Struthio camelus: one gene and its partners. The protein of the gene in region 4 purifies or fractionates together with the protein of the main gene of each other region. This does not show direct contact. Links are inferred from orthologs where the notes say so. Each region holds a gene or a part of one and is shown on either strand. Other genes may lie near its edges.

Region 1 (7,761 bases), about 97 Mb from region 4:
TTTGTTACTGGATCCTCTTTTTGGAAATATTTGAGGAGGGGGGAGGTGAAGGGAAACAAAAACGGAGCTCACAATAGTGATTGTTGAGAGATCTGAGATACCTGAATTGAACAGCTCGAAAGAGAGGTGAATTTGGATATACTAACTTTAACCCTTAACATGGAGCCTAATCCTTAGGCAAAGCAGCCACAGTTAATAATGGTTTAAAATAATTCCATTACTTAATCCCCAATTGTGAAATGATCATTTTCTCCAGTCAAGCTATTAAGGGTTGTATCTGAACCTCACAGGAAAACTTCCAACCCAAAAGGCGTTCTTGCTTGTTCCAAACGAGTCTCTCACCCAAAGGGCTTTTCCTGAAGAATAGGGATTGGCCTACATAGGTGGACAAGCTTTAACTGCTGTCTTTGCCATATTCATGAGAGGCAAATAGTTCTCTTTCGCCAGAGCTGTTGATTCTGACATAAACATCCCTCATCATTTTATTTAAAAAAAATCCTGTAAGTAAATATGAACGGATACATTAGCCTTTCTGCTGTGAACAATGTAGAAAACTACTCCTTATGAAAAGCTCTATCCTTCATAAGCCACATCTTTCCATTCTTCATCAGCATGTAGATATGACTTAGAAGTTGTAATGCTAATTTAGTTCTTCAAAATCATGACTATTAGATTTTAAATAATTCATTCCCCGTGCCTGCTGGATTACACACTTCAAAAAGTAAGTTTTGCTAAAATTACATGCTCTTGCATCTGGTAGCTTACAGAACTTGCTCATAATATGTATAAGACTATGGTCTACTTTCTTAAGAACCATTTTTACATATTTCTGTAAAATACACTGCTACGATTCAGACTCTTGAGGGAGCAATAGGTGTAATTGGTTCCAGTTTCTGCTTTTTAACTGACTCCTTTGTTTCTCAAGCGAAATGAATGTGCTCTTCAAGCTGGACTGGGGTGTAGCTTGGCACTGGAAGCAACTGCTACAGAACTAGGTCAGATTTTGGATGCAAATGAGAAGAGCATGCAGGGACAGCGGCACCTTACAGACTGCAGAAAATGAGGCTTTTAAGGTAGCTCAACACATCAGATTTGACAGACTATCCTGTGCCATAACTCCATGGGGCCTTATAACCACGCCTAACCTGTTTGTGAAGGACAAGTCTAAGGTTACAGTCAGGATCACGCTTGTCTACCTGTCATGGTGAAGCCCAGTGGCCCCTAGAACATTCTAGCAAGTGCTGCCTGTCAGTCAGGCTGTCCTCCCCCCGACCCCGGGCGTAACAGCTTTACACTGATTGCCCGAACAAGAGCACGTGGTATTAGACTGCTGCCAAAGACCTGACACCTTAAGTCTTCAATTTTGTCTGCATGCCAGTAGGTGCAAATGAAGGATCAAGAAATAAACAGTCGGCATAGGCTACATCATCGTAAAGTGTGCCTATGGCCACTCTCCGGCTATCTATAAAAGAACTACCGCTGGTAGTGTGCGCGTGGTGCCGATGGCGACGCGTGTGTGTGACGGTGGAGGAGGGAAGAAAGAAGAGGACATCGGAGCTGAAATCACTCCCCGCGCCAAAGGAAGCTTGGCAGCCCTTATCAGGGCTCGAAGAAGCCGAGTGGCCTTGTGCAAGGTCTCGCCGAGAAGCCGTGGGCTGGCAGAAGGAAGAGGACCTCGAGCAGTGCATGCGCTCTTGCCCCACCCCGCGTTCGGGATGCTGGACCGGGAGTCACCACGCAAGGGGACGGCCGTCCGTAAGACCATAAAATCCTAGAATAGGGAAAAAGGTGGACCATCACGTGTGGCCTAATTCCACCAGCTGCGGTCTCTGCACGGGGTCTGGCACACCTTTGGGGTGTGGCCAGCTCTTACTTATGGTCTCCATACTGGGGTCTGGCATGCCGGCCAGGTGTGGCCAACTGAATTCACAGTAGCGATGCTGGGGAGAGGCATGTCCGCCCAGTGCAGCCCTTTGGGCATCTTTCCTTTTATTTCTGTATATATATGTTTCGTGTTTCTATTCATTTCCACATTTACTACTGTGTGTACATACATATGATCCATCTTTTCCATTCCTTGTAAATATTGGTGTATATATACATACAATCGTTACACTGTTCACGGGTTATATCTGTTATTGCGATTGCTATTTGATTAAACGTTATTGTCAATTTTAACAGTAGCGTTTGTAAATCCATTCATCACCGCGCAAACGCCCATACTGCCACCCCAAATCTGCTTAGGTTGCGGTTGCCTGTTCACTTTGGTGTCCCTATTCATATGCCTTTCAGTTGGTGCATCTGCCCTTTAGGCGTGTACCACAGCACCAGTGGCTCAGGCCCGTCAAACTGTGACACTGCCTTTTTTGTCTACCTTCAGGCACTATGACAGCTGACTTCCGTCCAAATTTTTATGTGCCTCAGAACGTTGTCAGGAATTCAGTTCACAGGCTCTCCACAAGCAGTCTGTGAAATGCCAGCTGAAGAGAAGGTGAGTAGAGAGCAAAGCGCTCGGACAGGCCAAGTTTCACACATCATGGAGAAGGTTTGCTTCTTGGTCCTCATTCGTGCTCACCACCAAACCATGCTGGTAGCAGAGTACCATGGTCCCCCCTTCTCTCTGCCATCTCACATACTGGACATCAGTCAGTCTTTCCGGTACAGTTCCAAAGATATAGCTTCACATATACTGGATCCAAAAAAAGAGTAAGAGCTGGTCCCATTTGCTGCTTGAACTGCTTTGGAGGCTGCTCTTGCAGAGTAATAGAAACCCAGCCCAATTCAGCACATGGATTATCGTTAAGATTTTCTAACCAGGTGGTCATTCCCAACAGGTACCCAGTGGACAACAGAGAAACATCCCGTAATTTCGTTCCTTAAAGAAGGGAGTCTAGATCCTCAGCTTCCTTCAGATCAGGGAAGGCTTCAGCCAGGGCTGAGTAGAGGGGGAGGATCACCTCGCTCGACCTGCTGGCAACGCTCTGCTTAACGTACCCCAGGATACCACCGTCCTTCTTGACCACAGGGGCACACTGCTGGCTCATGGTATGCAATATGTATACACAGAGAAAGCTAACAGCAATGCTAATTAGTATTATATATGAGCATTTAACTAACTAGTCACTTATGATTTGTTCTCACAGGCTCATCAGTGCTCATATTTGCCTCTCATTTACTATTTCAGCCTTGTCTCAGGGCATGATGATACTGATTATTTTGGGTTACTTTAAGTGTCTCATTCTAGATTTGCAAATCTCACTCTCTCACATATCTTCAGTGCAAAGATGGCAGCCTATGTTGTTGCACACAGCCATTAAAGAAGTTGCCATTTGCATCTCTTTTAAAGCTTATTTCCACTGAAAGCCTGGGAACATTCATTATAAAAAATGCAGATAGCATTTTGCTTAAATCAATTAGAAGGCAAATGACATCACAGATTCTCTCAGGTAAATAGAATTTGCACATCAGCTGGCCTCACAACAGGCCCTTCATTTTTCTTTCTTTTGCAATTAACTCCCTGTATGCTCAAAGAATTCATATTTATACAGAGACCCACTTATCACAAACAGTTCCCTTTGATCTGAGCTTCTGTCATTCCTAGCTTTGTGGATAAAAAAAGAGGAAAGATCTTAGTATAAAGCTCACTAGAGGTTTAAAAATATAGCACTCAAAATGAAAAATTCAGAGAAATCTATCTGTAACATTCACGCAAGTGGAACAGTGACGTTCATACACGAGTGCATCATTTGCCCACTGTGGAGAATCCTGTTTGAATACCTCTGGAAGCGTAAGCCTCTCTCCAGCAAAGCTCTCCTCTGGCCAGCTGGCCGCTGACCTTGTGGAATATACTAGCTCAGCAGAGCATGGGCTGATCTGCTTTAATTCCCTCTCTGTGGAGCTTTTCTTTCCCACCAGAGGGCATATACTGTGATCACACAACTGCCTTAAGAGGAATTTAAAATATATATTGTGTACCAGATAAATAAACCTATCTGAATGCCAAGATTTTGTACTGAGTTCTGTTCAAAGGGCCTATTAATTCATCCTATTGCTCACTGGGTAAATTATTCCACTTGTCACAAAAGTAGCTCGTTTAGCACACTTTTGTCTGATTACTCCTAGAGTGCTGGATGTGCAGCACTTTTGAATAAGGGCATTCATCAATTTAGCTCCTGAGCTAGCTGGTTGTATTCACCCCCATCTCCAAATATTACGGCAATAGTTACTCTCAGGGTTCTAAGCTGCTAAAAACCTGTCCCTGTATTTTACAAATCCTTAAAATATTAGCACAAATATAACTCATTAAAGCTATTACAAAAATATGTGGCTACAGTGGTGTTTACTGTGTAAAGTCTGCAAGAGAACAGCTGAGAGAAGGAGCGAGAGCAGCAAGGCCGACTGCCAGGGCAGCGGGCTGTCTCTCAAAAGGCAACCGAGGGACTGGCCAAAGTCCACAAAATGGGCAGAACACAGCACGTTTTGAAACACTTATATGATTGATATATGTCATTACACAAGTAGGGAAGAGGAGAAAGAGCAAAGAAAAAGAAAGAAGCTGAAGAAGAGTCAATACAAAAATAAAGGCGAGAAACTGTTTCGCCGGCCCAGCTGCACCTCGGCGGCTCCCCGCCGGCCGGGCCCCGGGACCCGGGCCCCCCGCCGCCATCGCTCCGGGCAGCTCCGCAGGCTCCGCCTCGGCCGCGGCCTGCCCGCGGGGCCCGGCCCGGCCCGCCGCCCCGGCGTAGCCCTGCCCTTCGCGGCCGCGCCCGCCGGCAGCTCCGAGGGGCTGAGGACAAGCAGGTGCTTTTTTACGCGCACACTCGCTTTTTATTTCCAGCGGCAGGAGGAAACGTGCCGCCACTCTGGGCCGCGGAGCAACGCCGCGCCGGGCGACCGAGGCGCCGCGGGGCCAGGCCCGGCCCGGCCCGGCCCAGCGGGCGGACTACATTTCCCAGCGTGCCCCGGGCGGCCGCGGGGCGGGGGGGGGGAGGGGAAGGGAGCGGCTGTGGGGAGACATAACATGGGCGGCTGAGGCCGGGGCAGGTTGAGTCCTGCTGGTGGGCTGTGCAGGGCGAGGAGCCGGGCGGGCGGGCTGAGCCCTGCTGGGGGGCCGCTGGGGCTGGCAGGGGCGCGAGGGGGGAGCGGGGCGGAGCGCGGGGGGCCGGGCTCGCCGCTGAGGGGACGCGGGGCGGCGGCGCACGGCCCGGCCCGGCCCGGCCCCTGCCTGCCCTCTCCCGTGCGGTGGCTGCAGGCGCCGCGGCGAGGGAAGCAGCTCGGCGGCTGAGGAGGAGGCGGCGGCCGGGGACATGGCGGAGACGGGCTCGGTGCACGCCACCAGGTTCGAGGCGGCCGTGAAGGTGATCCAGAGCCTGCCCAAAAACGGTGAGTGCAGGGAGGGGGGGGTGTGGGTTATCGGCATCGGCTCGGGCCTCGCCTGCGAGGCGGCAGGGCCCGGCGGCGGAGGCGAGGCCGCGCCACCCTGCTTGCCCGGGGCGGCCGGGGGCAGGGCGCGGCCGCGGGTGGGCTGCAGGCCTGGCCCTGAGCGCAGCCCCGGCGAGGCGCCGGTGCGAGGCCCGCCGGAGAAGCTGCTGCGGCAGGTCTCGGGAGGAGAGGGTCGGCTCCTTCTCGGCCTGCGGCTCCCGGCTGTGAAAGCGGGAGAAGGGCCTGCACAGGTCGCAGGGTTGGTCTGATGGCTTCAGAGCTCTTATGTCGATGCGTTTCTTCCCTTGGAAGAGTTAAAAGGGTAAAATGAAAAATCAGGGTGTGTCTTTTTGATAAGAGTAATAAACAGGTCACTTATTACATCATTTTATTTCTGATATAAGAAACTTCTTTCTGTGGTGCTAATTTAAAAATTGCTATGAACTTCTTTAAATGACTAGAATCGAACTTGAAAATATTTCCTTTAATGGGCTGGATCTGAATTCTCTTCTCTGCCAGTTGTTCCAATTTTGCATTTATGTTTCTTGTGTCTGTGTGTGTTTCTTCCACAAAGGAAGAAGAGAGAACAAGAACAGGAGAAAGTGAAACAGTTATTGAAAGTACTGTCAAATACCCAAAGTAAACAAAAACAACAGAGAAGGTTGCTGGGTATTTTGGCTCTTCTTTGGCTTTTTTTTTTTTAATTACAGAGTCTTGCAGCAGGTTACCCTTTGTAACAGTAGGATGACTTGTGACATACTGTTTACAGAGAGCTGAATTTGTCCCTTTAACTGAGTGAAAGGAGGCTTGCTTGTTACTTATTAGTCTACTTCTAATTTTAGTCTCTCCAGTTAGAAAAAATTAAGTCTGTAGTCCCTTACACTTGGTCTGAAACTTGCTATTTCAGACCTACTGAGAATGTTTACCTTAGATTTGAGGTGGATGAAGACATTCTCCATTGACTTAAATTGTATTGCTGAGAATCAGGCCATAAAGAACTGCAGGCTATTTTCTCACAGAAATTCTAAGCTTGTAAAATACTAGTTAATATTCTTGATGCCAATTAAGTTATGTTTTAAAATGTTTTCTCTAGGTTCATTCCAGCCAACGAATGAAATGATGCTGAAGTTCTATAGTTTTTATAAGCAAGCAACCCAAGGACCCTGTAACATTCCAAGACCTGGATTTTGGGATCCGATTGGTAGATATAAATGGTAATTTATTTCATGTTTTCCTTTTTATGCTTTGAGTGGAGACATTCAGAGTCCACTTGGAGAAAGGATTTAGTGAGTTTATTTTCCTAAAATAAGAATATTCTAGTCCTTTGAGGCAAGCCTCAAATTTGTTTTCTTTCCTGTGTTCCAACTCTCTAGCTCGGATAACCTCTGACTTCTCAGAGTTGTAGGTGAAAGCATTCCCTTATGTTCTGCAGGGGGCAGGTTCTTCTTGGGTAAACACAGCATGTTACTTCTACGCTGTTTATCCCGCATTGTAGAAGCAAAGGTATAGGTGATCTGCAAAATGTATGACGTGGATGAGTGTCTGTCTAGAACTCTCTCTCCTCTGGTTTTCGAGTATGATGTGACCCCCAAGAAAATGGGTGCTTGCTGAAGTTGTATTAATGGCTTTCAACCTTTCAGGCAGAGGTCTGGTTTATGTATCTTTCTGATTTGTCTGCTTAATGGCAGAACTTCACATGGTCACTATCTTGCTCGTGTGGGGAAAACTAATTGCTAAGAGCTATTTGAAAAGCCATATCAATGTTTTGTTTGTTAACTTTTCTGTAGTTATGCTTTGTTGTAAAGAGCAAGTATTGTTGCTGTCCATGTGGTCAGTCTTTTTGGGATCTGTGAAATAAGTCTTCAGACTCTTTTGATTTCTCAAACTGGGGGAGAAGGGAGCATGTTTGCAGGGGACTGTGGCTGTAAGCTTCCAATTACCTGGTTGCTTGTAGCTGAAATGTGGGCCACCAGCCTTGAGGTTTTGCTTTAAGTGGGACAAATGGTCTGGCAAGAGGAAAGGACAGTGACAAATCAAGTGCAAGACTGAGTAAAGTGTTTTGTTCAGGCCCGTGTTCCAACAGATTCCTTCTGTGATATTAATAGATTTGATTGTAACTTCAGCCTTTCAGAATTGCAGAGGGAGAGGCCATCGGTAGTTACTGTCATAATTGGGGGTGACCTGACTATTGTGCCTCTTAGACTGACTCATCTTTCAGCAAGTGCTGAACTCTGCAAAGGACAAGACATCTTTCTTGTAACCTGTTTTAAAACGTTGACAACTATTTGTAAGTGTCAGCTGAAGTATTTGGACCTGCTTTTTCTTCAACAGGGGATCTTT
Region 2 (6,923 bases), on a different chromosome or scaffold from region 4:
AAAAGAGTAGGTTCATTACAATTTTGGTGTTTATTAAGCTATATTTATTCACATATAAGCAATTATGTAAGTACAGTATAGAAGCTGTATGTGATTGCAAGTGAGCTATTTTCCGTTAAACATATAAGCAAACTCCTCTCTACTTTTTCCCTTAAAGAGTAAAAATGTAGATAAAAGTCCAAGTTTTCCAATGTAAAATTTTATTAAAATATCATTTTAAAACAATACATTCTGCCAAGGGAGCAGTTTTTATAAAGCTTTCTGATAGGAAACAATTATTTAGATGTTGTTAGTTTAAAAATCTTTGCCTTTGCTCTGGTTATATCAACATGCATTTTTTTTTTTTATTGCTTGGGACAATGTTTTGTTTTCTTTTCCTGGTGCACAACATTAGAGGCAGAGGATTCTTTTGTGTTCTCAAACTTCCCGTTACTCTTTATTTCCAGCAAAGAGTTCTTTCACGTGAACAATGTAAGAGCCAAAGTATACAATTATCACTAAAGACAAAACAAAGCAATTTTTAGACTGCTATGCAAGAAGTCAGATGCTTACTAATAAGAAAAGTGAAGAGGATAATATGTAGATGAAAAGAATAAAGGAAGAAAGAATGAAAAACTTAATGAACCAGAGCAGCAACTCCTGACACGCATCATCAGCTAGCAGCTTTTCATACTCTCATTTACATCAAGAGAAAGCAGATCCTCTAAGATTTAGATCATTCCTTGTGTTTTCCTAAATTGAATCAGCTTGGAGTTCAAGACCAAAAGGCAAGCAACGGCTGCAGTATCTATACCAGCTCAGTTTAACGTAATGATGTTCCAAACAACCCTGCAGCTTAACTATTCAGTTCGTTAGGCAGCAAAGTAGCAGCAACGCAGACTTGGCGAAACAAGCGTGACAGGAAAAGGATTTAACGTCCCATGCAGTCAAATTCTTTTTTTCCCCCCCTAACTAAAAGATACTGTTGCAACTTGTGAAGGTATCTTAAGATAAGAGATAAGTTTTGGAAGTGTTTCTCCCTGTCAAAGATGAATGCACTAGCAATTTCTTCTTCAACATCAGTAGTTTATATTCTTATATAAAAGTCGCTTTGGGAACTCTTTTTCACTCACATTTATGCTTATTTATCCTGAACCAAGAAAATACCTGCAGTATCAACAAAACACACACATGCAGTATCAATAAATTACAACATATAAATCTGAAAGATTTGAAAATACCCAAATGAGCAGTGTTTTGAAAAATACTTGATTCCAACACTGGTCTGCCTCAATGACTGAATGAGTAAATATAAAACTACTCCAGAACACAGCCAACTCATTAAAATTGAAGAACAGCACATTTTAGAACATTCTTTGCTCCTCTCGTTTTTGGAAGTCTTCCAAAACTTTAAAAGTTTTCTCTCTTTACAGCTGCCATTTGATAGATCTACTTTGACAGAAGAAAAGTATTCAGCAGAAGTTACTTAACACAGACTATTCTCATGTACACTGCCAAATGAGAGAGAAATATTTTAATTTCTTCCGCACATATTTTTGGAAAACAAATGTGGGTTACCATCTTTCACCTTTATCTTCAATGTTCAACAAACACTAACAATTTCTAAAATGGTTCCAAAACCTCTCCTTTAGATTTAGACGATACCAAGAGTGCACGCATTTTTCAGAGCATTACAGGAGTAAAACAACATGTACCAAAGTAGCACATAACTGTTTTCTAGCAAAAGTTTTGGATAATCTAAGGTATGACAATGAAATCTGACTGTATAAACTTCTTCTGAAGTTACTTTCTTCCAAGTGCATTTCAACAACAAAGTAAATCGATTTCAACCTTGAACACAAGAAGAAAACAACAATAAAACACGTTATAGTAATATTCATGCAAAACTTTTACTGGTAAAGTTAACTAGCAGAACATAAAGTGTATTTTTACATCACCTTCACAACCGTTGCACCATTTCCCCCTCTTTCCTATCCACCCTTTAAGTAAGCCTCTCTGCTTTCTCTCACAGCACTGTTAATACTTGACAGGTCTTTATAAGCACCTCCACGGGCCTCTACCAAACTCTTTATTTACCACACAGTTGCCAAAAAAAAAAAAAAAGAACAAACAAAAAAAGCAAATATTGGCCTATACAGTTAATTTCACATTGCACGAACAAGAGGCAGGGCAGTGACTCATTGCCCTGCAGCGTCCGGCCTGTGTATGGATCTGCCTGTCCTTCTCTTCTGTCCAGAAGACAGCCTCTGCTCCAGACAGCTCAGCTTCCTGCTCAGAAACCTGCTCCTCAACTTCAGACTGCAGTTCTCATGAGGCGAATTTACTTTTCAGGCCCCCGAACTAAACGTTCACCTTACTCGCAGTGCCTTTTACACCGTCAGACAAGCCTACGCGGGCAACACTTGTTGACTGTGACAGGAGCCCCTCAGAGAAACTGCAGCCCTTTAAGGAGCAAAACTGCAGAACTTGCGGCACACAGGCTCCGCGCCGGCAAAGACCTTCCCCCGCGGCCTGCAGGACGACGGCCCGCACCTGAGGGCAGGCGTCCACCAGAAGCTCCCTGGGAGCAGGGAGAACCGCTGCGCTACCGCTCGGCCCTGGCGCCAGGCGCCCGTCACCGCCGCAGCACGGCAACGCCGCTCGGCCGCCCGCGGCCGCCTCCCCTCCCCTCCCGCGCCGCCCCGGGACGCGCCGGGGGCCGCCTCGCCCCCGCCGCCCTCCCGCACGGCCCGGCGGGCCGGGCCGACACCAGCTGCCCCTCAGCCCGGCGCGGACTCACCGCTCTCCCGGCCGGCCGCGGCGCTGCCCTGGCGGCGGTGCGGGCACAGGAAGTCGCGAGCCGCCTCCAGGTCCTGGAAGTGGCCGAAGGGGACGAGGGTGCACGACATGGTGCTGGTGGTCGTGGCGGTGGTCGCAGCGCAGCCGAAGCCGCAGCCGCCGCCCCCTTCCCGGCGCCGGCCGCCCAACCCGGAAACGGTCGCCGACTTCCCGGCCGCCCGACGGCCTCTGCAGGGCGCATGCGCGGGCGGACAGGGGCCGGTGGGGGCGGTGGAGGGCACGTGACCCCGGCAGCCGTTGGCGGCGGCGGGGGGGCCGTTGGTGGGGTGGGAGGGTGTGGGCCCGGCGGGGCCGCTCCGCTCCGGTCCTTGCCGCCCGGAGGAGCGAAGGCTTCTCGGCGGGGTCGGCTGGCGGAGGTGAGCGGTGTGCGGGCAGCGGCAGTGACTGGGATGCGAGGGATGCGCCGATCCCCGGGGCCGCGGCCTGACCTGCAGGGAAGCAGAGGCGGCGGTCGCGAGGAAGGTGCGGCGACATGCTGCAACGGTTTCATCGTCCGCAGCTGATGGTGAAGAACCCAGAAAGGCAGCAAATGCTGCGGCGGATTGGGACCGCACGCCTTCAGTGGGTAGCGAGAGGCAGGGTTGCTTTCTACTCTTAATTATTTTTGCAAGCAGGTATTTCTTGTGTTTAACGTGAACGTACCGTGTTGACAGCTGACCCCTCCAGGGTTAAGGCGGAGAGAAGCGTGTGCGAGCAAAATTCGGGGGGGTGATTTCTGAGCTCCACAGACATTGCCCCGTTAGCAGCCCTGTAAGTTATTTGCTAATAAATCTTACTTTACAGGGCTTTAACTGTATGGAAAATCCTGTTGCTTCTTGTCCCACAAACGTCTTTTATTTGTTATTGTCGATAACAACGTTTGTGCTTTTTTAGTAGTGAAAAGCAGAAATGACTGAGCAAATAGTCCAAATAAACCATTCTTAAAGTATAGAAAGTTTGGGCTTTGATACACTTCTTCGGGGTGACCTTTATCTCCAAAGACTTTCTGAGACTGAACACGTTTGCTAGAAGTTTCGTTCTAAACTGCAATTGCTTCTGACTTACCTGAAGGCACAGAGCGTAGCAGGCTGTAGCCTCTAGAAAAGCTCTATCCACTTTCCAAAGAAATTGGCTTCAACTGGAAACTTGTTTACCATTTTCAGCTGTATATTATTTTGCTACAGTAATCAGGATCCAATAGCAGTCATGCCCTTAACAACAGCATGGACATTTGTTTTTGTATTTTAAAGCTGTGGCCCCAGGCAATACACAGGTTGTCTTTGAATTTAAGCAGATGAATAATGCTGTGCCTATTTAATACAAGGTTATTGCATCCTGTTTTTTTTTTTTTTTTTCCTGAACAGGGATGACATGCTGTGTACCAATGGGAAGGAAGTTCTTGGAAAATAAGGTCGCTCTGTGGGAAAAGTTGAAAGCACTGGTATGGAGGAGTGGCTAATGATTTTCAAAAAGAAACACTAATTAGGCATGTAAAGCCTGCGGAAAAAACATTTAATGACAACTTATATGTGGAACATGTGCAAAGTCTCTAGTAATGTCAAGTGAATAAATAAAGAGCACACAAGAAATTAAATTAACAAGCTGGTTCATCATTGTTTGGTGATGCTTTTATCACATTATGAAAATTTTCTTCTTTAGAGACTCTTAATGAACATTGCAAGAGACTGTAATATCCCTGTCAGATGTGTTGTACACAGAGAAGTCAAGTTAAAAAAGTGACAAGATACTAATTAATGAATAAAATAAGGCAATGAATGATTCAGTAAATGAATTAACAAATATTTAAAACCAGAGTTAAGCCCTGATGAACTAACCTGAATACCTTGTCTACTGAATTACTGTTTTTTGTTACTTTTATTTTTGAAGTATTGAGGTTTGTAAGATCATCTGGAGCTTTTTTCATCACTGAATATTTGTGATTGATGCTGTCCTGTCCAACTCATAACTTTAGCATTTCTTGACTTTTGTCTACTGATGTGGTCTTAATAGAGGGCCAAAGCATATTCCTAGACACAATTACCTGTAGAGGATAGTGAAAACCCCCAAAGTTTTCTTCCTGCAGTTTCCTCTGGATTCTGTGGAAGGCAGTCTTGAGCCAGAAAGATGATCCGATTTCAGACTGCCACACTCACTCCCCTTGTTTCCGTGCCACGGGGCTCTCACACAGGATATTGGTGCTCCCCTCCCAACACTCCAAAACATTCAGTGAGCCAAACTCAGTAATTTCAGCTGCTGCTATCACCCAAGCCAGCAGTATAAAGATACTTTTTTTGCAGTTGCTTGTGGCTACTTTCATACAGAATAACATTTTCCTAAGTTATGCTTAGTGATAATTGTGTTTCTCACAGCGCCGTTCTTCCACCCATAGAAAATACGCTCTTGCATTATAACATACAAGTTACGTACATTTACTTGTCAATACAAGTTAATACAAGAAAAGAAGTAAAATGGCATTTATTGTTTAAATGTTAAAAGCCTCAACAATATTTTCTCATGATAAAACCATGTTAGGTGCGCTGTCGGGCATTTGTTGGGCAGTAGATTTATATTTCAAATTAAATTTTAATTTCTCCTTTTTCCTTCAATTTTTATTGAAATGATCTTCCATTGTATCTCCTTTTTTATCATTCGTCTTTTGCTTGCACATCTTTTTGGCATGTGAATATGTTATTAACTTGATAAGTGATTTGGCAGGAGAAGATTCCAACTGCATTTCATAAGCTGAGCAGTGTTGGGCACTGGTGATCTAAACATCCACTGCATGTACAGCTTTCCTTTAGCTTTGGATGTGCATGGACAGTGTGTGCAAAATAATGTGTGTCTGCCTCCCCATGAGATAGCCTTTGATAATAGCAGTGTTTTCACATGTAATTGTACTAGCAAAGCCTGGGCCAAAGTAGCTTGTAGCTGCTATCCCTGACTGATGAGATTTGACCTTTCTGCGATCCTGCTAAATCTTATTCAAACAAAGTATGTCACTATAGAAAATTATGTTTGTTGAATCTTGATTCAGTTCCATTGTAACAAAGAGGACATCTCATAATTTGAAGTTAGGTCTCGTCTGTTTAGGGGCTCTACTCAAAGCCACTTGAGGGTCTCTTACTTTTGATTCGGTTCTGGCTTTAGCCCCAGCATTCATGGCAAGCTTTTCTTCAACAAGTTTTACAGATTAACGATAAGCCTCCTTTTGTCTTGGTGGAGAACAGCAAACTCAACTTCCGGCTTGTGATAGGCACGCTTTTTGATTGATTTTTAAAATTTTGTCTTGCATCCGACTTCCGGGATATTTCTAGTCTTGCTTGTGTTTAATCACTGTTTTGTCACTGTTTGGATTATCAAAGACATTATGGGAGGAACGTGTACAGTTTGTAGCATACAGAAATTTCTATTTCAGAATATTCAAAATCATGAAACCTACAGCCTTGTGCAGTGCTACTTCTGTCTTGCTCCATTTTGGTGTAAAAACACTAAGAAATTCTGTAGTTCGTCCATCTACCAGCAGAGGTGGAGATCCTGTTGTCCATCTCACTGCAACATCTTGTACTTGTGCATCTATATCTACTGTGATTAACAGCCCTTCAAATGGCCTCTTCATATTCATGTATTTGTTTTTCTTCTGTTAGAAGATACGTTGCACTACGTATGTTTTTACCTCACTGAGCATGTTTGTGACAGTACAGGAGATTGCCCTTTGTCAGATTCATTGCTCCCCTTCCCTTTTTCTCTAGTAGCATTCAAAAGTGGTATCAGTGTGCACATGCTGCACATACTGAGTCTATGGTATTTTTTGTTCCCTCAAGATTTTGGTGCAGATCAGTGCCTAGCTCTTCTCAAGGCATATAAATTGCTTATCCTCCAAACGCATTCCGAAGGATGTCCGCTAGCATCTTTGCGTTGCCACTTATTCCACAGAGGTAAGCCTTGCTGAAATATAGTTACCTTATGTGTAAACGGTTACGTTTCTGCCTAGTGGAAAAGGGAATCTCTGTCAGAATGGATGTCTATGCAGTTTATCCCCATCTCAGGTCTGTAGGTGAGGAAGGAAGGAATAAGGGATATCCCTTTTCTCCCCTTTCAGCTCACCT
Region 3 (7,955 bases), on a different chromosome or scaffold from region 4:
GCATCACCAAAACACCCTGAAAAGTTTGCATGCAGCCCATAACACGTGAGATCCAAGTTATCCAGATGCAGCTCTGAAACCCCAGTACACAGCTGAGCTTTACTGCTCCAAGTGTTGCATTATTACAAGTGGGGAATACATTAGTCATCTTTAAAACTAAAATCTTGTTTTAGTGCCTTTGCAGACAAGAAAGGTTGAACCCAAGAGTTCTCCCTGGATGAGATGCGTGAAAATTGCCAAATTCTGCTAGCATCACCCTGCTGTTCCTCCTTCCCTCTCAACTAACGCAGGCTCTTCTTTCTCTGCAGGCAACCCCCAAAGAGAAAATCCAAGGAACCGGTCAGAAAAGCTTTTTCTGCTTCTTGTACCTGCCCAAACGTCGTGTAAACAAACACGGGGATCTCCGCTACGGTCATCGCCAAGGCCTGGATGATGGACATCCCCTCTGTCCTTCGAAATGCCATGTCTGAACGAGCACCTCGGCACCTCCAGGAGCCCCCACGGGGAAGAGCGCTTGCAGACGCTGCGTTGGCTGCTCACAAGGAAACCCAGCTTGCCCTCGACCTCTGACTCGGCGTCCTGGGGTCAGTCTTCAGCCAGCAATCCTCTTCCTGCACGAAGAGGGAAAAACAGGCGAGTGAAGGGAACGCGCGCTCACGTCTCTGCGCGGCACTCCTGAACGCCGACCAGGCTCAGCGCAGCACCGCAGCTAGGGCCAAACAGGAGAGCTAAAGCGTTTTCTCCCAGACAGCAGCAGTTTCTGCTTCTCCTACTAACCGTGGGGGCAGATGCCCAAACTACTCTACAGCAGGAGACCAAGCATCCTCGAACTGGATAGCTGCGACTACACCAGACATTTCCACGCGCGCCAAAAGCGGCTGCACGCAGTTGCAGGGATTTTGTTTGCAGCCCCCCCTGTAAAAAACTCCTTCGTCCAAAAAACCCTGTGTTCACTTTAATTAGCAAAACTCCGCTCCCCCTCAGTTTTGCGACCGCATCAAAGATCTGCTCAAAAGCCACCGAGAAAAGAGCGTTTGCCCAGGGGTTTCAAAGCAGCTGAGGTTTAAGCGGCGCTTTGCTGGCCGCGCGGGGAGCCGGGGAGGACAGGCGTGCTTCACGTCAAGGACAGAGCTAGGAAAGAACGTGATGAAACCTGGGGGTGTCTTTTAACTGCAACAAAGTTAGAAACGCTTTGGCTCCGCTGGCTCTTTCCGGCGAGCCAAGTCCACCGCAGCCCGGCGACGCTGCACCTCCCGTGTGCGGCTTGCAGTCCGGCCGGGCCGGGCTCTCGTGTCTTCCCACACCGACGAGCTAAACCCATCCCGTGTTTTAAAGCTGCGTGATAACTACCTGCTCCTACCTGACCGTAGCGCTCGCAGCGCCCTCAGACCCAAGGTCTCACGAGCCCCGGGGAGGGCATGACCCCATCCGGGAGCCACATTTGCAAACGCCTCTCAAGGTGGCTGGAGCCTGCAGGGAGCAGACTCACGTGACGGGCTCTCAGTGCAAGGTTAAACGCAACGTTTTGGCCAGAGCACAGAAGAGAGCAGCGAGGGGCAAGAAATCCTGGGTTCAGGATCCAGCCCGTGTCTGGCTGATGGGGGGCGTGCACAGTACCAGGGACATTGCGCTGTCCCCGGGCATCTCGCCCGAGCCCTGGCCCCGCTGGGGCGCTCAGGGCAAGGCAATGCCCGCACGCCAGGCTGCGGAGGAGTGAACACCCGAGCGGTGCTCCCGCTGCCCCTGGCCAGGCATGGCCCACAAGCATTGCAGCACGCCTGGCTCCTGCAACCAGGGCTCCCCAAGCTCCTGGTACCCGTGCACCCGAGGGGCTCCCCGGGCCCTCTGCACCCCTGGGCATCCCTGTACCGCCTGCACCATGCGCCCCTGGGCAGCCTCCGGAGCTGCTGCGCCTGGACGGTCCACAAGCTCCTTGCACCCCTCAGGTATCCCCTGCACCCCGTGCACCCATGCAGGTCCCCAAGCTCCTTGCACCCCTCAGGTATCCCCCGCACCCCGTGCACCCATGCAGGTCCCCAAGCTCCTTGCACCACTCGGGTATCCCCCGCACCCGTTGCACCCATGCAGGTCCCCGGGCTCCTTGCACCACTCGGGTATCCCCCGCACCCCATGCACCCATGCAGGTCTCCGGGCTCCTTGCACCCCTCAGGTATCCCCTGCACCCCGTGCACCCATGCAGGTCCCCAAGCTCCTTGCACCCCTCAGGTATCCCCCGCACCCCGTGCACCCATGCAGGTCCCCAAGCTCCTTGCACCCCTCAGGTATCCCCCGCACCCCGTGCACCCATGCAGGTCCCCAAGCTCCTTGCACCACTCGGGTATCCCCCGCACCCCGTGCACCCATGCAGGTCCCCGGGCTCCTTGCACCACTCGGGTATCCCCCGCACCCCATGCACCCATGCAGGTCTCCGGGCTCCTTGCACCCCTCAGGTATCCCCCGCACCCGTTGCACCCATGCAGGTCCCCAAGCTCCTTGCACCCCTCAGGTATCCCCCGCACCCCGTGCACCCATGCAGGTCCCCAAGCTCCTTGCACCCCTCAGGTATCCCCCGCACCCCATGCACCCATGCAGGTCCCCGGGCTCCTTGCACCACTCGGGTATCCCCCGCACCCCGTGCACCCATGCAGGTCTCCGGGCTCCTTGCTCCCCTCGGGTATCCCCCGCACCCCTTGCACCCGGGGGGGACCCCCGACTCCCCACCCCTGGGGCATTCCCCGTGTTGCCCGGAGCCAAAGATCACCGGGCCTCTCGCACTCCCCGCACCCCGGGGCACCTCCCGCACCTCCCACGCCTCCTGCGCCCCCGAGAGAGTCCCCCTCCCCCACCGCGATGGTGCGGCCCGCCCGGCCCGGCCCCCGCGAGCGCGGGCGGCACCACTCACCGTGACGGGGGGGGGGCGCGCGGCGCACCGCGAGGCGCCCTCTCCCCCCGCCGCGCGCCATGGCCGCGGAAGGGCAGCGTCTCCTTCCCCCGCGCCGCAGCCTACCCTCGCCGGGGGGCGGGGCCTGCCGCGGCGGGGCGGGGCCGCCTCCCGCCAGCGCTCCGAGCCAATCCGCGCGGCGAGCTGCCTCCCCGAGGACCAATCGGGTGGCTTCGCCCGGCCGGGCCGGGGGCTGCGGCGGCGGGTGCGGTTGAGCAGAGAGCGCCGAGCGGCCGCGGGGCGGGGGGGAGAGGGGGCGGTGCGAGCGCCCATTCGATGGCACTTGACAGCTGCGCTCGAGGCGACGGGCTCTGCTTAAAGGGGCCATGCCAGCCGCGGGCGGGCCCACCGCCTGAGGCGCTCACCAACTGCCCCGCGAGCGCGGATCCCAGCCTGCTGCCTCCCGCCAGGCCTTCCTCATAGCTGGGACAGCGTTGCAAGACAGCTGGCGGCGACGTGGGGTGGGGGAGGGCGCCGAGACCCTTTTAAGAGGCAGCGGCGCGGCGCGAGGAGGGCATCGATCGGCGCTATAAAGGGCGGGCTGCGCGGCGGCCGCGGCGACAGCGGGGGCGCGGCACGGCAGGGGCGGCTCGGGGCGCCCATCATGGACTTCAACGTGAAGAAGTTGGCGTCGGACGCCGGCGTCTTCTTCTCGCGGGCGGTGCAGGTGAGCGGGGCCGCCCCTGAGACGAGGGGGGCGGCCCGGCCGAGCTGGGCCGTGTCGCGTCGCCATGGCAACGGGCCCCGGCCTGAGGGGAGGCCGGGCCCCGCGGCAGCCGCCTCCCGCCGGGCCGGAGCCGTTCCCCGGGCTGGCTCCGCCTGCGGCCCCCCAGCCGCCGAGCGAGGCGCGGGCAGGAGCAGGCACCTCCGGGCGCTGTCGGCTTCGAGCGGGGCGGGGTAGCGCCGAGCAAGAGCACAACTGGACGGTGTTGCTGCCTCCTTGATGAGGAGGGGGTCCAGGGCATCGTGAAGCCGAACGGAGTAAGAGAGGCCTCAGAGAGGCTTCTAATAAATACGTTTTTTGGAAGGGTGTAGAAAGGGGAAGTGTGGTGATAACTGTCTAATGGTGGTTATTTGCAAAAGCTTATCTTGCAGGTGACTGTTGTGTTAATTGTGTCTATGCCAAAGGCCAGGCCCACTGGGGAGCTGTTCCCTTCGGTGAGGTAAATGTTTGCAGCAGAGATGGGCTTGCAGATGGCCTGTGCTCCGACCTCGAGGTCGGGTGGCAGCAGCTCACAGGACTTGGCAGAATGCAGTGCTGTTACAATGGTGGGAAAGGGCTCCTGAGACTGAGCTGGTAGGGTCTGCTTGGACTAAACTGGCACCAGGACTTAATACCAGGAGCTTGCTGGGGATGCAAGGACCCCCTTGAAGCTGTAGGCTGAAGAAACTTGACTACCCACAAAGAGTTAAGTGTGCTGCAAGCAGTGAGATGTGGCTGCTGAGTGTGTCCACTCTTTGGGCATAATAACTGGAATAGCTGTTCTTGGATGGGCAGAAGAAGGCAAGGGAGGAGGCTAAGCTGGAGTTTGTTGGGATCTTGCCTGAGAACTGAAAGTCAGCTGGTGACTCTGGGGCTGGGCTTCTTATTCCCCCTATTATGTGGGGGCTGATTAAAAACAACCAGAACAGTGCTAGCTTGTTCCAAGCCTTCTGTGCAATGGAGTAATTCAGGCTCTTTTGGAAACTGGTCTCCTGTAAACAGATATCACCTCCTGTTATTGTGCCAATGAGTCATATGTTATGGAAAGAGAAATATTAACTACAGGTGCAAAACATGGAGCAGATGGAGAGCTTAAAGATGCTGTTCTCATGCAAATGACCTTGATAACAAAAGAAAGGAGAAAAGCTGTAAAGAAATTGTATGTTTAGAAGGCCTATTGAAGCTAACAACCATTTATCAGAGACTTCTACAAGGCGTAGGAAGGAGACAGGCATGGGAACAGTGTCTGCACACAGCAATTCTAGAGCAGGGAGGCATTTATAAATAGTGGCTCCTGCCTGCTACACCTACTCCATATCATCCTGCATATGAATATCCACATGATTAATTACAGTAGTAATTACTTGAAACAAAGTGGCACAGGTACTTTTGGAGTGTGTGTGCTAGTGTTTGCATAAGCAGGGCAGACTGGGAGAATATGGATCACTGATGCTGAGAACCACCTCTTGAAATGCTGTTGCTGGGGAAAATAGTCGCATTTGGGCTCTCCCCACAGAGCTCTGCTACTGGCATAGTTGAGCATTGCTCTGTCCACCCCAAGAAGCAAATGACAGTTGAGGTCTGCTATTGGCAATAAGGATTAGGTTTGTAGTAGCCTTCTTAGCACAGCAGATCTTTCAGGAGAGGAATAAGACCTGGCTAGAATAAGCTCAGTTTTCTAGAGCACTGGGGATGCTTCCTTCTCCTCCAGGCATTTAACAAAGTGATGCTTTACTGGAACTGCAGTGACTGGGAGATAAATGGACCGGCCTTAATGTGCTGTGCTACTCAGACAGCATTAGCTGTTACTGTCTGGCTGAGATGTCTGGCCAACACACAAGAGCTTAACTTGTACTGGAAGAAGTGCTGTGGCATCACCCAGCCTGCAAAGGTGGGGGGTAAAAGGAGGCAGAACTGGTTTGGCACACTGTCTTTGGGGTAGCTTCCCAGAGACTGGCTGATGAGCAGGAAAAATGTTGGCCTAGGCTTGACCTGGCTGGCTAGTGGCAAAAAACACCACTGCTTTCTTTACGTGGCTTTTCTCAGCTCGGGTGCTAGTTAGGAGTTCTGCTAACTGAGGAGAAGCCAGCAGTTTGGAGGATCTGTGCTCTCCAGTGGACAAGCCCATACCCATCTCCAGCATGAGCAGAGGTGGCCATGACAAAAGCTGTGCAATATCTCCCCAAAACTGTGTAAGTGCCAGCTATCTTCCTAAGATTGTGTATTGGTTCACTGACATGGCAGTGTCTGTGGACCCCATGGCATCTCTGTTCTCCTTTAGCAAAGCAGATGATACAAGTTTTGGGGATGGAATAGAGCAAGAAGACGCAGTCAGCTCTGCCTTGGGCAGCTGCAGGGATAAAGGGCTGTTGTAGGACTTGGCATCCCACTTAAAGGTATGCCTTACTGACACACACCACCAAACAGTCACTTCCAGTTACCTCCTCAGAGGGGATGCAGCGCTTGGCCCCTAACAGCTCCTGCTCTGGCACCTGCAGACAAACTTCAAATAGATCACTCTCGTTGTTTTCCTTGAGTAAAACTAAGGCCTTCCTGCCTGCACAGCTGGACCTTTCAGTGATCTGTAAGTGGGGCTGATCCCCAAACCTCAGCAGAGGGAGCGATACTAAGAGCTCCAACCTGCCTCCAGGACTGGCAACTGTTGCTGCAAAGGTAGCACACTGGAAGTCTCTGCTCTAGACAGGGTTTCTCAGGGATGTCTGGAAATAATTGTAGGTGCCTGTCTCCTATCAGTCCTGATAGAAGCTGACTCTGGGTGAAATTGCCCAAGCATGAGTATGGCTTTTGAGTGCTTATCCCACTGCTAATGTAATTACTATCTTGCAGCTCCTGAGAAAAGACAGGCTCCCCCATCTTCCTGAACTCGAGTGATAAAATAGACTTTTCAGCTCTGCTAACATGAGCTTACTGGGGTTAATTGCTTGGCTACTGGGCACTTTAAAATGCAAAATCAGAGAACAGGATGTGACTGAAGAAAAGGGGGTTGAAGGCAAGAGGTGCAGGTCAGAACACATTTGTGGTTACGTATGAGCATAGGATGGTTATTTTTCCTCTCCTACATGCCTTGCTCCTGAGTTAGTAAAGCTGTCCTGTTAATGGCTTCCTTCTGTCCTCTAACACAGTTTCTCTTGGCTCACATCCTAGCTTTTCTGACTCCAGGTGACCAAATGCTTGAAGCATGCTCTGTATCTGGTCCAAAGCAGTTGATTCAGGTGGTAGTTTTTTAGATGCTGACTGAGTAGCTATAGCTTCTCTTCTAATGGGACCCTGTACAAGGGAAAGGACATAGACTTGTCTGAATTTGGTTCTTTCATGCCTCTGACCACCAAAAGAGCAAATGTTACAGTAACCTGGGTGTTATGAAGCTGTTTCTAGGCTTCAGAAAATCTACTGGCAGGTGCAAGAGAAGTCCCGATTCAAGACTCCTGACCCTGGTTTGATCCTTGTGATTTAAGGTGGAACACAATTTCCCTGTAACAATGTCTAACAAGGAACATCCAACTGGAAAAGCTGGGAACCTTGAAAGTGGTACAAGGGCCTGAACACATCCTCTGCAAGGGGGCTGTAGCCACCCTGTTAGAGCTCACAGCGTACAGGAGTGGGCCTGCTGGAGGGGAGATCTATGGAAAAATTGCACAGACCTGTAAGAGATACAAGTCTAACTTCTGCTGCATTGTTCAAAACAGATGTAGTGCTAACAAAATATCAGTGCTTCCACTGACTTATATTTCCCCCCTCTTTAAAGGGAGAAAGGTGCTAATGCTTTCAACAAAGCGATGTATGCGCTATTTTTAAAGTCTAGTCTTGATGGCCAAAGTAATTAGGGCTGCAGGCACAGCCTCTTTGATATTTTAGCTGTAGAGCAGAGGGGCCCATCCAGCTCAGCCCCACTTGCCCACCCTCCCTGACATCCCAGTAGTCTCTCCTCCAACTCTTGTGGGGAAAGAGGAAGTTTCTCCCAAGCTGGGACCCCTGCCCTAACTGCAGTCCAGCATAGTCTTGCTTTTGCAATCCTTGCCTGTTCCAAGTATTGCTCTCCTGATCTGTCATCCTGCTTGTCCACACAGGCCCTGATAATGCATCTAGTGTTCCTGCTGGCCAGCCAAGCCTCCCAGAGGAAACCCAACCTTTGGCTGAATTATTGATGCCCTGGAATGCAGCACAGCTCTCTTCCTGGAGAGTGAGTGTGGCACTCAACAAAAGGCCGCCCTGCATTATTAATCACCTCTTTGGCTTCCTTGCACAAGAACAGGACTAGTGCTCAGCTGGGCCAGCTGCAGGGATGCTTCC
Region 4 (7,743 bases):
AGGTAAGAAAATCAACAAAACTATGTTGTTCTATTCAGAGGTTTAGACTTAAATCTGATCTGTTACACACGCATCATCACTATCAGGTCAGTAACAGCCATGGACAATTGTTGCAATAAAAAGAACCTTGAACAATCAGCTACACTGAAAAAAAAAATACTTTTTTTTTTTTTTTTAAACAAAGGCGCATGATTTTCTACACATAATTACACTTATTCTGAGGCCTACTCTCTCTTACTAACCAATCTGGTTTTTAAAAGACAATTCTCAGAATTTCCTTCTGCCACTACTATACTATTTAATGCAATACTTTAGAACTGAATTATTGTTTGTGGTACATAAACTTTTTTAAACAGCTCAGAAAAATAAGCAGTTAGAAAATATTTACTGAGAGAGCATTTGATGTGCTGCTTTTCCTACAGTGTATTGAAATACTACAGTCTCATTATGCTTCAGGTTTTGTTTTTCCTTAGTCTGCTCTACACAAGTTTTCGTCATACATGCATTAGCCCAAAACCAAAGTTCATGCCTAAAGATTACCTATTTCATACCGTAAACACACACCCCAATAAAGACTACTGATTGGCAGTCGCTTCACACAGACCTTCTAATCTAATATTTATTTGGTATTCCTTATATCCACAGTTTGTTTGTATCACACAAATACAACTTACAGAGTTTCTTCAAGCTGGAAGTGTTTGCAAGCTGCAAATTAGACATGGCAACTTTTTTTTTTTTTTTAATATACATAAATTTTCCTCCAACTTACTCTGACAAGAAGAGCACAGTGTCTTGAAATTTCAAGTGCAGGCAAACATGGTAGCATTTTAATAACACAAAATACAAGTGAAAAAACTAAGTTTCCACTATGGTTTTGGCTCTGTGAATGTGCAATTTAAAAACTGAAACTGTCAAAATAGGAAGATGTGGGATCCAACAGATTTTGGGTTAATTGATCTGATGGATCAATAAAACAATTACAATTTGTTATAAATCTCTATGATAAACCAGACTTAAGCTTTATTTATGAAAGCCAGGCCAATCAAAGGTATTTTGGGGGGAATACAATGTTTCACTGTAAAACAAATATTTATTTGCTCTACTCGGCCATTAAAAAAAAAATTTACAACATCATAAAGTCTGCTTTATCCCCCTAAGACAATATAAAAATGAGCTTACTGAAAATAGAAAAATTTACAGGATTAGACAAGTGCATATGCTGACGCTGCTTACAAAACTTAAAATCAGCAACATTAATTTTTTTTAACATGATCAATGTTATTTAAACTTATATTTTGAAACTGAAAAGTTCATGGAGATTTTTCTCAATACTCATCATGGGTACTAAAAAGAAATTCACTGAATACTGAAAACTGTTTATTATACCATGCTTTTTTAGACCCCTACTTATCAAGTATCCCTCTTAGCTTTGGAAAGAGCTTATCTTTTCACAATCATCTAATTTGTGATTTATTAGGAGGGAAAAAAACCCAAATGCTAAAGCACTGACTGGAGCCTATTCCGACAGATGCATCTCATGCCACTCATAGTCATGTGGTTGGCATGAAATACCTGAAATACAGAAACTTCTGAAATGCACACGTTCCTTTCTCTCATTCCCAAGGAGCGAACTGCCTTTTTACATAAGTCCAAGTATTAACTGACAACCTGCCTGAAACATGACACCCAGGGGAAAACGGGGGCGGGGGGGACAGAGGAAGAGGGTGTCATTCGCCAAGCCAGTGGGTCAGATTCCCTCAGGGAGAGGGCGCGGGTGACCTGCTCACACATCCGATGAGTGATGGTGCAAAATAACACCACAGATATCAGCACCGGTTAACAGCTAGACTCAAGAGGCGTGCCCACACCGTGGGCCAGAGCGCGGGAGAGGGAAAAGGCCAGATGCGAAGGTAACCGAGTCCTCCTCCTCGGCTCCCCTCGCCGCTCGCTCGCACCACGGCAAGGCACCCGCTCCTGGGTCTCCCCTACCTGCTACAGATAGAGGGAGACCTTACGGAGCGGCTCGGGAAAGGATCCGCAACCACTCAGACCCCTGCGGCCGCAGAAGTGACAGGAGCGCGATTCCCCCTTGCCAGGGAGGAGGCCGGACCCCAGCCCCTCCCCGGCCGCAGCCGGCCCCGTCGCTAAAGGGCCGGGCCGGGCCGGGCCGTGGCGCGGCTCCGCCCGCCTCCCCAGCGGAGCCGTGACACGGCAGGGCCGGTGCCCGCGTCTGGGGCACAAGCGGGGACAGGAAGGCGGCACCGTGCTGGGGCGGGGAAGAAGGCAGCCTCCGCGGCCCCGACGCAGCCCCCACCCCCGCCCGCGGGAAGCGGGCGGCCGAGCAGCGGGCGCCGTGTCCGGCGGGGGCCGGGCCGCGGCGCTGCCGGGGCCGAGGACACGCTCGAGTCCCCGCCGGATCCCAAGATGGCGGCGGCGAAGCCCGTTCACCGGCTCGGCGGCGCCCCCTCCACCCTCACGGCGGCCCCGGGCAGGCGGCGCCCCGGCCCCGCCGCCCCAGCCGAGCTCAGATGCCTCGAAGCGGCCCAGCGCCGAGGCGCAGCCCGGCCGTCCGGCCGCCGCAGCGCCGCTCCCCCCCGCCCTGCCGGCCGGCCGGCCTGCCCAGCCCGGTTCCCCCTCACCTTTGAATTTGAGGTCGGTGGGCGGATCGAGCACCAGGATCTGCTCGTGTTTAGCCAGAGCCCCGGCGGCCGCCATCTCGCTCACTCGCTACCGCGGGAGGAGGAGTGGGGGGGGGGGGAGGGAGGGAGGGAGGGAGGAGGAGGAGCGGGAGTGGGAGGCGGGGAGGCCGGGCGGCGGCGGTGGCGCCGCTCCCTCGCAGCGGGCAGGCGGACGGCGGCTCCGCGCTGGTGCCGGGTCGCGGGCCGAGGGGCGGCCGCCGTGCCGCGTCGCGTCGCGTCGCGTCGCGCCCCCTCCGCGCGCTGCTGCCCCACACCCGCTCCCGGCTCCTCCGCGCCGCCTCCCCGCTCGCACTGCCTCAACAGCCCGGCGACGCGCGCGCGCACGGCCGGCAACGCCAGCCTCTCCGCAGGCACGAGGGCGGCGGCGCGGCGGAGGCGGCGGCGGGCCCCTTGCGCGCATGCGCACGCCTCACTTCCCCCCCCCCCCCCGCCGCCAGTTGACAGCTAGACCCAGCGAGATGCCGCCGCTCGGCGAATCACGCGCCGCGGTGCCCCCTCCCGGCCCCGCCCCTCCCAACTGCCCCTGCGCTAGAGCTGCAGGGGGCGCGCGAGCGGCGGGGGTGGGGGGTAGGGGGAACGGAAAGGAGCAACGGCCCCCTCCTCCTTCGGGAGGACGAGGCGGGAGCAATGCGCATGCGCGGGAAAGATACTGGGCCGCGCTCCTGGCTCGACGCTTTGGGCGGCTTAAAACTCGGCTGGAGGGACTACGGCTCCCGGCATGCAGCGCGGCGGCCGGGCGGAAGCGTTGCGTGCTGGGAGTTGTGGTCCTTGCGCTCTCCCCGCCCCGGGTGGCCGCCGGCCGGTGGGGCTGGCAGCGGGGGCGGGCGGGGGGAGGTGAGGAGCCTCTCCGTGCCGCGCGGCCGTTGGGGCTGAGGCAGGGGCCCGCCGCCATGCTGGGGGCAGAGACGCGGCCTTTCCGTCCGCCGCGGGGAGGGCTGCCTGCGCGGACGGGCTTCAGCCTGCGCAAGGGCAGCCCGCAGCGACGTCCCAGGGCACAACGATCCTCGCTCCGAGGCGCGCCGGGGTGAAAGGCCCAAGCCAGGTTATAAGCAGGGCAGCAGCATGCAAGATCAGAGAGAGGAGGGGGGGGAAAGGGCATCTTCCACCTGGCTTTAAGGTAGGCGGTGGAGGAGCAGCAGGGAAGGAGTTTCCAGAGGTGTGGCTCGAAATGTTAGCTAACTCCTGATTTCCACCAAGAACCAGCATCTGCTTTAAGGGTCACTGTTGACCGGCATGAAAGCAGTTCTTGACTCTTGCAATCTGGTGAAAGTATACTAGGAACATGTACAGGAGGAGAATAACCTATTTGAAAAATATGTCCTGCTGATAAATACACTGAAAAAATCACTTAAATGGCCTTCAGCACGAACTCACCATGGTTAAGAGTTGAGGCTCGCTTCATTTCCTCGCTGAATACGCCTCCCTCAGCCACAACCACAAGGAAGGGTTTTGAGGCCATTCGGCGGGGGGAGGCCCTCGGCGTAAGTTAGGTCCAGGCTCTGCCTTGGCTTGGGCAGAGCTTTCACGCTCCGTTTCAGCTGTCTGCCTCTGCTCCTAGTCTCCCACTGTTGTGTCTCCTTCTATCAGCTCTTCAGCACCTTTGTCCATGCCATCCCTTTCAAGCCACCAGGTCCAGCAGTTCTCCTGCCTCAGCCTCAACAGTCTGAGTAACTGTCCCAAGGGCAGTATTTCTGGCACCGGTCCTTCTTGGTCCTAAGGTTTGAGACATTCTACCACACTAATGTGAGTTTTAATATTGTCACTGACTGAAGAAGAAATATGTTGAGAAACACTGTAGAACAGTATCTCAGCCTATTTTTACCTAATTGCAATTGGCTTTAATAGGTGGAGTTTTGTGGTACGTACCTGAAAATGTTGCTAAAGGCCTGTAACTATTTTGGCTGTAGTTTTCCTGCTACACACTTACTTTATGATGCCCATAAAATAAGTTCTTAAATAGTGTCTTTATTTACAGTACAACATATTTAAAGTTATTGTCTGATGCTGGGCTTTGTTAGCATTACCATGTTCCGCTCTGTTTATGCATTCTTGCCCTTGGGATCTGGAAGATAAAGTGAAAGACAGATACATTTTTTTCTGTCCTACTATATTTGTTCTTCTGTTGTTAACCAGGACAGTTACTCTATTGCCTCCACCTTCTGTTCTTTTCTATTCAGGAATCCACCAAAGATTAAGCCACAATGTATGCCTCTCAGAAGTGATAAGTGAACTTAACCCAAGCCGAGTTTCTCCATACCAAAAGAATTTTTGGGTCTTGGCTTTCAAAGAATCAAGACGTGGAGAACTGCTCTAAAATACTAAACGCTACGAAAGGTTCTATCCTTTCTCCTTTTAACAGGGTGAAAAATAATGGTAGAGATCACAAATTCAAAAGTAGCTCCTTCAATCTAGTTTCAGAAGAGAGAAATACCTGTGTTTTCTAATTCTTTTATACAACTCTGATATAGGAAAATCTGAGGAGAAACAGGAGTTAAGATCTTTCCTTAACATGACAGCATGTCTGACAGGTTTTCTCATGCATGTTTTTCAGTGCAAACGCATTGATGATATACATGGTTGCATGTTAGATTATGACACGTGACATCAGTGGGTGTGTGCAGGTTGGAGGAGGACTGGGTTAATTCTTCAGCAGCACGTTAAGAGGAACTGAATGGACTTCAAGCCTGGGCCCAAAGCACGTTTTTGCTAGCAGAGGGAGCATCACAGAACCAGTCAGGTTGGAAGAGGCCTCAGGAGGGCTCTAGCCCAACGCTCTGCTCGAAGCAGGGGCGGTCAAAACTGAGTTCAAGCCATGTTGCTCAAGGCTTCGTCCTGTTAGGTATGAAAGCCTCCAAGGACAGAGATTTCACAGCTTTCTTGGGCAGCCTGTATCAATGCTTGCCTGTATGCCTTGATGTTTGTAGGGTTCTGCTCATGTAGTCTCACAGTAAAGGCAAAGTTAGTACATAAACACTGAGTGAATGGGTTAATGGCAATTATTCCTGAACATGTATTTTTAATGTAGTGTTTGTTGTTGTTCAAACATGTACAACCTTAGTAATGCATTAATGTATTTTGTTGCATTTAATATAATTTCTGATCTCATGCTTTACACAGTACTGCTATTTCACCCAAACTGAAGTCATTTTTTATATTAAACAAAACCTATGTTGTTGATTAGCAATACCTGGCAGCCTTCTCCAACATATGATTCATTTTTTTAAACACATCATAGCAAAGTTGAGGAATGAAATCTTGGCTCTATTGTAGTCAGTGGAAAACCTCTCACTGATTTGAGTGAGATCATTATGTCATCCCAGAAGTATCCTTAGTGTATTCATTGCTGGCAGAAGACTAACATTTGCTTAATCTCAGGTTAACATTTGTCCTGTGTGTTTGTAGATCTTAATGTTTTTCACACGGTGAGTTTGGTACCACTGTTATAATATCTCAGTTTGGAGATGGCTGGACATTTTTCAAAACCGTTTGCTGTTAAATATTAAATGAGTTCTCTCTATACCTGAGAAGTATCAGTGTTTATTCAGTCTCATAATACTGTTTTGCACTGTTTATTATTCAGGTGGTTTATTCAGTCCTACCAATTCTGAACTTGAAAATGTCTTTCAATGAAAGACTATCGTGACCCTCTTGGCAATTTCTTGCTGTTATTAAGATTGCCAGAAAAAGCAACTAAGTGCTATATCAGTTTGTCATATTAATGGGAAAATTCTAGATCTCGCTCACTGAAGTATCATATGCATGCTCCATTGCTAAGTCAGTAAATAAGTCAGCAAAGGTATACAGGTAAAAGAACATTTTAATTTCCCTTTAAGGAAATAACTTGCCTCTTGGTGCTGCAATTTATCTTTTGAAATACAAAACTATTCTTAGCATACGCAGAGATTAAGCATGATGTAGTCATAATTTACTTGGCTGCTAATGAATTCCAAATATAAATTTAGGCCCACTTGTTATATTGTAAATCAAAGGTAAAACCAAAGTCCACACTATTATAGATTTATAGCGTTATTCAAATGTTAGCACAGACCAGAGGAGTAGGTCTTAGTTGGATATCTTCAAGTTTGTTCAACTACAGGGTATTTCTCTACTTAGTGACCTTATGATAAAAACATACAATGTACTTTGAATAGGCAAGCAGAGAAAAACTAATCCTGGGAAACAATCAGTAACACAAAACATAATAGCATCCTGATAAATAGCTGTAGTGTAAAATTTTTGTACACTTCATATTTTGGACTTGCTTCTTTTCTTGCTGAAGACAAAAATGCTCGAGGCCATTGGTGGTACCTTAGCATTTAAAGAATTGACTGATTCCTCAGCCAACTGAAAATGGGCTAAAAGCCATTAGACATTCAAGGACACATCAGTGTAAGGCAAATGAAAAATGACAGTGTTGTTAAGGGAACAGATTTTTGAACACCATTTTCGGCAATTGATTCTTACAATTCTCATACATTCATGAGGGATGTAATGAGACAACTGAATATACAGAACATGGAATGTGTAATGTGTTGGTTTTATGTTATTTTCCTGTACTTGGTGGAATACATTGTTAAGTCAAATATAAGTATGCTTCCATCTGCTAGAGTGCACACAAGAATGATATGAGCCTTTCAATAGTGAGGTTAGTCACTGGAAGATCTTTTACTTTTCCTCTGCAGCAGCAGAAAGCTATGATTTGACCACAAACATTTTTGGTCTTTCTTCTTTTTTGTAAGGGTGAGATTAAGACCCTTTTTGTACGTAGTTATCATTATCGATGATGGCAGCAGCGTCAGGCTTCAGAGCATTCAACTACCACTTATATAGTTAGGCCCTTCCTTGTCAGTTTGAATTTAGGAGATAGAAAATGTTGATAATTCTTTGTGCCATTTTCGTCCAAATCTGGGCAAAGCAATTGATGCAAAACACTTCAGAAAGTAATTTGCATCTGAGCATAAACTCAAGCTCAAGGGCCCCATAATCTTTGAAGCTGCATCAACTGATAAATGGTTGTGTGCTGGGATGTCACTAGGACTGTCTG

What was found.
Region 1: the proteins of VAPA (region 4) and ACBD5 purify together in Homo sapiens (co-immunoprecipitation; 4 studies listed by BioGRID and IntAct, counting the BioPlex papers as one, with this or other methods). This does not show direct contact. The link is inferred for Struthio camelus from reciprocal best matches to the Homo sapiens genes VAPA and ACBD5.
Region 2: the proteins of VAPA (region 4) and RAB3GAP2 purify together in Homo sapiens (affinity purification with mass spectrometry; 3 studies listed by BioGRID and IntAct, with this or other methods). This does not show direct contact. The link is inferred for Struthio camelus from reciprocal best matches to the Homo sapiens genes VAPA and RAB3GAP2.
Region 3: the proteins of VAPA (region 4) and MIGA2 purify together in Homo sapiens (co-immunoprecipitation; 3 studies listed by BioGRID and IntAct, counting the BioPlex papers as one, with this or other methods). This does not show direct contact. The link is inferred for Struthio camelus from reciprocal best matches to the Homo sapiens genes VAPA and MIGA2.

What each region holds. Positions count from the first base shown.
Region 1 is NC_090943.1:19,239,565-19,247,325, reverse strand, and holds the start of ACBD5 (acyl-CoA-binding domain-containing protein 5), read left to right. Parts: upstream 1-4,754; 5' UTR 4,755-4,800; intron 4,801-4,986; exon of another isoform or gene 4,987-5,057; intron 5,058-5,146; exon of another isoform or gene 5,147-5,251; 5' UTR 5,252-5,306; coding exon 5,307-5,382; intron 5,383-6,514; coding exon 6,515-6,635; intron 6,636-7,761. UniProt on the Homo sapiens protein: Acyl-CoA binding protein which acts as the peroxisome receptor for pexophagy but is dispensable for aggrephagy and nonselective autophagy. Binds medium- and long-chain acyl-CoA esters.
Region 2 is NC_090944.1:117,734,719-117,741,641, forward strand, and holds the start of RAB3GAP2 (rab3 GTPase-activating protein non-catalytic subunit), read right to left. Parts: upstream 3,002-6,923; 5' UTR 2,889-3,001; coding exon 2,780-2,888; intron 1-2,779. UniProt on the Homo sapiens protein: Regulatory subunit of the Rab3 GTPase-activating (Rab3GAP) complex composed of RAB3GAP1 and RAB3GAP2, which has GTPase-activating protein (GAP) activity towards various Rab3 subfamily members (RAB3A, RAB3B, RAB3C and RAB3D), RAB5A and RAB43, and guanine nucleotide exchange factor (GEF) activity towards RAB18.
Region 3 is NC_090961.1:7,075,189-7,083,143, forward strand, and holds the start of MIGA2 (mitoguardin 2), read right to left. Parts: upstream 3,017-7,955; 5' UTR 2,903-3,016; intron 1,466-2,902; exon of another isoform or gene 1,361-1,465; intron 612-1,360; 5' UTR 465-611; coding exon 369-464; intron 1-368. Other genes in the region: SH3GLB2 (endophilin-B2), read left to right, coding at 3,546-3,608. UniProt on the Homo sapiens protein: Regulator of mitochondrial fusion: acts by forming homo- and heterodimers at the mitochondrial outer membrane and facilitating the formation of PLD6/MitoPLD dimers. May act by regulating phospholipid metabolism via PLD6/MitoPLD.
Region 4 is NC_090943.1:116,078,910-116,086,652, forward strand, and holds the start of VAPA (vesicle-associated membrane protein-associated protein A), read right to left. Parts: upstream 3,016-7,743; 5' UTR 2,716-3,015; coding exon 2,640-2,715; intron 1-2,639. UniProt on the Homo sapiens protein: Endoplasmic reticulum (ER)-anchored protein that mediates the formation of contact sites between the ER and endosomes via interaction with FFAT motif-containing proteins such as STARD3 or WDR44.